Linked DNA regions of Anolis sagrei. The protein of the gene in region 1 purifies or fractionates together with the protein of each later gene. This does not show direct contact. Links are inferred from orthologs where the notes say so. Each region holds a gene or a part of one and is shown on either strand. Other genes may lie near its edges.

Region 1 (3,755 bases):
AATCCCAATATGGACACAATGTGGTGGCTGCTCAAACTTTCTGGGATCACACAGGAACAGGTTTGTTCTCTCTGACAAACTGGAATGATGTGGCACTTGATTACCTGGCAAAAATGTCAAGTCCACTACAGAATTTCACTGGATGACCAAAGGCCATTGAAGGCTTTCTACAAGCACTCATAATACTAACCCAGTTTTACAGGCTTTGCACAAGGAACCCTAGCACACGAAGTACTCGATGGCTCTCCTAAACATGGCTGTTGCTGCCTGGGGGCATCTTTGGGAGGTGTTAACAGGCACTTGATGATTGGCTGTCTGGAATTCCCCTGTTTGAGTAGTGTTCTTTATTTACTCTCTTGATTCTGGTGGTTTTTTTATGGAGGGTGAAGCGACAGCTCCCCTGGTGGCCAGAATATCCTCATGAAAAAGCTGGATTGTTAAATAGCCCCTGAGTGTCTGTCTATATATGTTATGTGTCTATGGCATTGAATGTTTGCCATGTATATGTACATTGTAATCTGCCCTAAGTCACCTGCGGGGTGAGAAGGGTGGAATATAAATACTGTAAACAAACAAATAACTATATATTGATCCTCTCCCTGCAAAAATTGAGATTAGAGGTACCTATGTTGTTGCTTATGATGCTTGCTTTTATTTTTTGATGATGATGTTGTTTTTATGCTGTTTTATATTTTGCTGTTCTGTTTTTAACTGTATGTTTTCTGGGCATGGCCCCATGTAAGCTGCCCAGAGTCCCTTTGGGGAGATGGAGGCAGGATAGAAAAATAAAGTGATGATGATGATGATTACTATTATTATTACAACAATTTTATTGATTAGCCAGTTGGCCTTATCAAAAACAGACAGTGCAAACACAACATACAACATACGTTTGGTCCTCTTAAAATAGAACACAAATATATATTATTATCATTATTATTATTAAAGTCCATAGCAGAAGCGAGAAATGGATATGTTTTGGGATGTTACAAATCAGACCTTTGTGGTTGTGAATGAAGTAGAGAGTGTTTGAGGACTGGAACATCCGTAGGGATACCAAGGTGCTTGTTTATAGAGCTATTGTCCTCCCAACCCTGCTATATGCCTGTGAGACGTGGACTGTCTACAGACATCACATGCAACTCCTGGAATGATTCCATCAGCGCTGCCTCTGGAAAATCCTACAAATCTCTTGGGAAGACAAGCGGACAAACTTCAGCGTGCTGGAAGAAGCAAAGACCACCAGCACTGAAGCAATGGTCCTCCGCCATCAACTCCGCTGGACCGGCCACGTTGTCCGGATGCCTGACCACCATCTCCCAAAGCAATTGCTCTACTCCAAACTCAAGAACGGAAAACGGAATGTTGGTGGACAGGAAAAGAGATTTAAAGATGGGCTCAAAACCAACCTTAAAAACTCTGGCAAAGACACTGAGAACTGGGAAGTTCTGGCCCTTGACCACTCCAGCTGGAGGTCAGCTGTGACCAGCAGTGCTGCAGAATTTGAAGAGGCACGAATGGAGGGTGAAAGAGAAAAATGTGCCAAGAGGAAGGCATGTCAAGCCAACCAGAACTGCCTTCCACCTGGAAACCAATGCCCTCACTGTGGGAGAACATGCAGATCAAGAATAGGGCTCCACAGTCACCTACATACCCACCGCCAGTACACCTATTCTGGAAGACAATCCTACTCGGACAACGAGGGATCACCTAAGTGAAGGCAACTACATACAAGTTCTGAGAACAGGGAAGCTCTGGCCCTTGACCGCTCCAGCTGGAGGTCAGCTGTGACCAGCAGTGCTGCAGAATTTGAAGAGGCATGAATGGAGGGCGAAAGGGAGAAGCGTGCCAAGAGGAAGGCGTGTCAAGCCAACCCCGACCGAGACCGCCTTCCACCTGGAAACCAATGCCCTCACTGCAGAAGAAGATGCAGAGCAAGAATAGGGCTCCACAGCCACATACGGACCCACAAGAATACTGGAAGACAATCCTCCTCGGAAAACGAGGGATCACCTAAGTAAGTAATAGTCATATTGGGAACTTCTCATTGTACTTTTAAAGGTTGTATATTATGTGATGTCATGGCCTATGGCTGGTACAGTAAACAATTCATTCACTCTTTTCAATACTGAAACACGACCATACAGGCCGAAAAACTCACAGCAACCCTGAATTAATGGTTTGTTTGCAAACTTGGATCCACTTTAGTTGCCAAGGGCTTCGACGTCGTCTGCTCCCAGCAAACTACAAATCCCAGGGCCCCATAACATGGAGCCTTAGCTGTTTAAGTGGGGTCAAACTGCACTCATGCTGGGGTGCAGCATTCTGGCACTCCAGAACCCCGAGAAAGGGGCTGAGAGGCATGACAATGCTGCCTGCAGAAGGCCCCTGGAGAGGGCCTCCTTTCCCCCCGCTTTCCTGTGAAGCAGGCTCCTCCTCCCCGTCCTGAAGCGAAGAAGCAGGCCCTTCCCGCCTCGGGAGAGGAGCCAGGCCTTACCTCCGCGTCTCCGACTCCTCGTCCTCGTCGCCCAGCATCACCGGCGCCTCAGGATGCGAAGCCACCGCCGGGGCGGCCGCCATAATCACGTCGCAATCTCCGCCCGCCGACGCCATCTTGCTTCCTTGTTGCTGCAATCAACGGCCGGCGAGCCGGGAAGAGAGAGGGAGAGAGAGACAGAGCGCGAGGCGAACGAGAGGAGAGAGCGGAAGACAGGAAAAAAGTGCACTTCCGGAGAGGGAGAGAGGAGATGGGGGCTAGAGAGGAGATGGGGGCTAAGTCCGCCAAGAGGGAACCTCTGGGTCTCCTAGGTTACCAAGTGGGAGAGTGGAGGACTCTGTGGCAGGACAGAGTTTGGCTTCTATGCACTATTTATTTAATAAATAAAATACTAAATAATTTATTTAATAAATAGCTACTAATATTGTTCTGTGCTAATCATATAATATATTGTATGTACATAGAATATTGATAATAATATAATGTAAGAGTATAAAACTAATCATAATACAATATAATAATATAAAATTATTTATAAAAATATAAATTATTTATAATAATAATGCAATTTATATAAAGTTTTGGAGTTGTAGTTCACCTACATCCAGAGATCACTTTGGACTCAAACAATGATGGATTTGGACCAAACTCTACAGGGATTTATAGTTGCTGAGATTTATAGTTCACTTACAATCAAAGAGCATTCTGAACCCCACCAACCACTGGATGAATTGCTGCCGAATTTGGCCACAAGACACCTACTAACCCAAGGAGTGACCATCACTAAAAAAACCCTGATTTTGTCACTTGGGAGTTGTAGTTGCTGGGATTTATACTTCACCTACAATCAAAGAGCATTCTGAACTCCACCAATGATTGAATTGAACCCAACTTGGCACTCGGAACTCCCTTGACCAACAGAAAATACTGGAAGGGTTTGGTGGGCAGCGTCCTTTGGTTTTGGAGTTGTAGTTCACCTACATCCAGAGAGCACTGTGGACTGAAACAATGATGGATCTGGACCAAACTCTACACATATACTCAATATGCCCAAATGTGAACACTGGTGAAGTTTGGGGAAAACAGAATTTTGACATTTGGGAGTTGTAGTTGCTGGGATTTATAGTTCACCTACGATCACAGAGCATTCTGAACCCCACCAATGAAAGAATTGGGCCAAACCTCCCACACAGAACCCTCATGTGGGCTACAGCAACGCGTGGCAGGGGATGGCTAGTAATACAATATAATAATAATA
Region 2 (3,755 bases), on another chromosome or scaffold:
CCCCTTTATACTAATAAATGCAGCCCCTTTATACTAATAGATGAACACTTTGTAAGCCGTCCTGAGTAGAGAAGAGACGGGGTAGAAATACTTTATAAATAAAAATAAATAATACTAATAGGTGCACTCCCTTTATACAAATATATGCTTTTTGAGCATTGAGTGCTGGTCTTTATTTACTGTAATAATAATAATAATAATAATAATAATAATAATAATGTAATAATGTAATGTAATAATGTAATATAATTGACTGGTTGCCCTGACACGACAAATAAATAAATAAAAAATTTACTGTCCTGATTTTAGATTTTAGTAAATAAAGAACCAACATTCAAAAAGCAGGGGAATTCCAGACAGGAAACAATCAGGGCCAGCTAACACCTCCCAACAAAGGATCCCCCCTCTGGAAGCAATCAGCCAAGCTTTGAAGCTGCAAGACCATTAATCAAGGTGACAATTGCAGCATTCACACCTGCCTCAAGCAGGCAAGAGTTTTTTCTCCCGCCCTGGACATTCCACAGATATATAAACTTCATTTGCCTAGCTTCCAACAGATTCTTCAACCTCTGAGGATGCATGCCATAGATGTGGGCAAAACGTCAGGAGAGAATGCTTCTGGAGCATGGCCCAACAGCCTGGAAAATTCACAGCAACCCATTGATCCCGGCCATGAAAGTCTTCGACAACAACCCTTTCTTTATTTTCCTTTATATTAGATGAACCCCCTTTTTATTTCCCTTTACACTAATAGATTAACACTTTATTTCCCTTCATACTAGATGACCACCCCTTATTTTCCTTCCTAGTGCAGGAGTAGATGCAGCCCCTCTTTATTTCCCTTTACACTTACTTATAGATGAACCCCCCCCTTTATTTTCCATTAAATGAGGCAAACCCCTCATTTCCCTTTATACCAGTGGTTCTCAACCTTCGTGATACCGTGACCCCTTAATATAGTTCCTCATGTTGTGGTGACCCCACCAACCATAAAATTATTTTCATTGCTACTTCGTAACTGTAATTTTGCTACTGTTATGAATCGTAATGTAAATATCTGATATGCGGGATGTATTTTCCTTCTCCAGACCAAATTTGGCACAAATACCTGATATGCCCAAATCTGAATACTGGTGGGGTTGGGGGGGGTTTGATTTCGTCATTTGGGAGTTGTAGTTGCTGGGATTTATAGTTCACCTACAATCAAATAGCATTCTGAACTCCACAAATGATGGAATTGAACCAAACTTGACACACAGAACTCCCAAACAGAAAATACTGGAAGGGTTTCGTGGGCATTGACCTTGAGTTTTGGAGTTGTAGTTCACCTACTGTGGACTCAAACAATGATGGATCTGGACCAAACTCTGGCACAAATACTCAATATGCCCAAATGTGAACACTGGTGGAGTTTGGGGAAAATAGATTTTGCCAATTGGGAGTTGTAGTTGCTAGGATTTATAAGTAAAGTAAAGGTTGTCCCCTGACATTAAGTCCAGTCATGTCTGACTCTGGGGTGGTGGTGCTCAGCTCCATTTCTAAGCCGAAGAGCCGGCGTTGTCCATAGACACCTCCTAGGTCATGTGGCCAGCATGACTGCATGTAGCACCGTTACCTTCCCGCTGGAGCAGTGCCTATTGATCTACTCACATTTGCATGTTTTCAAAGTTCTAGGTTGGCAGAAGCTAGGGCTGACAGCGGAAACTCACGCCGCTCCCTGGATTCGAACCTGCTACCTTTCGGTCAACAAGCTTAGCAGCTCAGTGGTTTAACCCACTGCGCCACTGGGGCTAGGATTTATAGTTCACCTATAATCAAAGAGCATTCTGAACTCCACCAATGATGGAATTGAACCAAACTTGGCACACAGAACTCCCAAACAGAAAATACTGGAAGGGTTTGGTGGACATTGACCTTGACTTTTGGAGTTGTAGTTCACCTACATCCAGAGAGCACTGTGGACTCAAACAATGGTGGATCTGGACCAAACTTGGCATGTATACTCAAATGTATACACTGGTGGAGTTTGGGGAAATCAGACCTTGACATTTGGGAGTTGTAGTTTTCTGGGATTTATAGTTCACCCAAAATCAGAGCATTCGGAGTCCCACAAACGACAGAATTGGGCCAAACTTCCCACACGGAACTCCCATGACCAACAGAAAATACTGGAAGGGTTTGGTGGACATTGTCCTTGAGTTTTGGAGTTGTAGTTCCCCTACATCCAGAGAGCACTGTGGAGTCAAACAATGATGGATCTGGACCAAACTTGGCATGGATACTCAGCACGCCCAAATGTGAAGACTGGTGGAGTTTGGGAAAAATAGAGCTTGACATTTGGGAGTTGTAGTTTGCTGGGATTTATAGTTCACCCACAATCAGAGCATTTGGAGTCCCACAAACGACAGAATTGGGCCAGACTTGCCACACAGAACTCCCATGACCAACAGAAAACACTGTGAGACTAAATCCCCTTCAAATGCATGCAGTTCTCACAAAGTACGTCAGCCGGGGCTTTCCCTCTTACCTTCCCCGCCGTCCCCACGCTCTCTCCTGTCAGCACGGGCCCCAAAAGCAGGCAGACGGGCTCCTCAGAGCCCCTCCCACCGCAGCCGCCATCCCAGGGCTCTCCTCCGGCGCCCCAGGGAGATGAGATCCTCCTCCGGCTCCTGCTTCTACTTTTATCCCGACCCAAGCAGTCTGGCTCCCAACACGCATGCGCACTCGCCCTCTTTCCCTGACAGGCACTTTCCAGGCGGAGGAGACGAACACTCCTTCTCTCGCGCGACAGTGCCGTAAAGCAACACCAACACCCGCCCTCGCTTGTTTGGGGGATCCTTTTTTGAAAGCCTGTTGCCAAGGAAATCGGGTTCGGCCTCGTGAGCCCGCCCACTTTTCTCTGCGCATGCGCGAGTTGCGAGAAACCGGCGTTGACTTATTAACGGCCCTTCGTCTACTTTTTTTTTTGCTTCACGCATGCGTGAATGGCCGAGGGATTACTCTTTGGTTTCTGCGCACGCGTAAATCGCCAAACAACTCCAGGGATAGGCCAGATTTGTCTTTGCGCATGAGTGAATGGCTATTTATTTATCTGTCGTGTCAGGACAACCAGTCAAATTATATTACATTTCTAACAAACAGACAAAATACACAATTTGTGAGTTTGGTAGTTGATTAAATGTCCTTTGACCAGTATAGTCTAGATTTCTTGGTGTAGAAAAGGAATGCAGTATATTTATATAGCAGCTGGTGTGTGTAAAATTAGTTAAATTGGGAACCACAGATATAAATCTTATGGTGACTTCTAATTCAGTGTCTTGTGAGAATGCAGCATATCTGTACTATTTATTTATTTGTCGTGTCAGAGCAACCAGTCCATTATATTACATTTCTAACAGAACAAAGCAAACAAACAGACAAAATACAAAACTTGTCAGTTTGGTAGTTGCTTAAATATCCTTTGACCAGTATCTGGCCACTTGGGAGTGCCTCTGGTGTTGCTGCAAGAAGGTCCTCCATTGTGCATGTGGCAGGGCTCAGGTTGCATTGCAGCAGGTGGTCAGTGGTTTCCTCCTCTCGCATGTCATGGATTCCACTTTGTATCCCCATTTCTTAAGGTTGGCTCTGCATCTCGTGGTGCCAGAACGCAGTCTGTTCAGCGCCTTCCAAGTCGCCCAGTCCTCTGTGTGCCCAGGGGGGGTCTCTCATTTGGTATCAGCCATTGGTTGAGGTTCTGGGTTTGAGCCTGCCACTTT

Evidence for each region. The genes of interacting proteins can lie anywhere in the genome.
Region 2: the proteins of DNAJC7 (region 1) and BAG5 purify together in Homo sapiens (affinity purification with mass spectrometry; 4 studies listed by BioGRID and IntAct, with this or other methods). This does not show direct contact. The link is inferred for Anolis sagrei from reciprocal best matches to the Homo sapiens genes DNAJC7 and BAG5.

What each region holds. Positions count from the first base shown.
Region 1 is NC_090026.1:45,047,788-45,051,542, forward strand, and holds the start of DNAJC7 (dnaJ homolog subfamily C member 7), read right to left. Parts: upstream 2,723-3,755; 5' UTR 2,614-2,722; coding exon 2,498-2,613; intron 1-2,497. UniProt on the Homo sapiens protein: Acts as a co-chaperone regulating the molecular chaperones HSP70 and HSP90 in folding of steroid receptors, such as the glucocorticoid receptor and the progesterone receptor.
Region 2 is NC_090021.1:327,335,441-327,339,195, reverse strand, and holds the start of BAG5 (BAG family molecular chaperone regulator 5), read right to left. Parts: upstream 2,803-3,755; 5' UTR 2,528-2,802; intron 1-2,527. UniProt on the Homo sapiens protein: Co-chaperone for HSP/HSP70 proteins. It functions as a nucleotide-exchange factor promoting the release of ADP from HSP70, thereby activating HSP70-mediated protein refolding.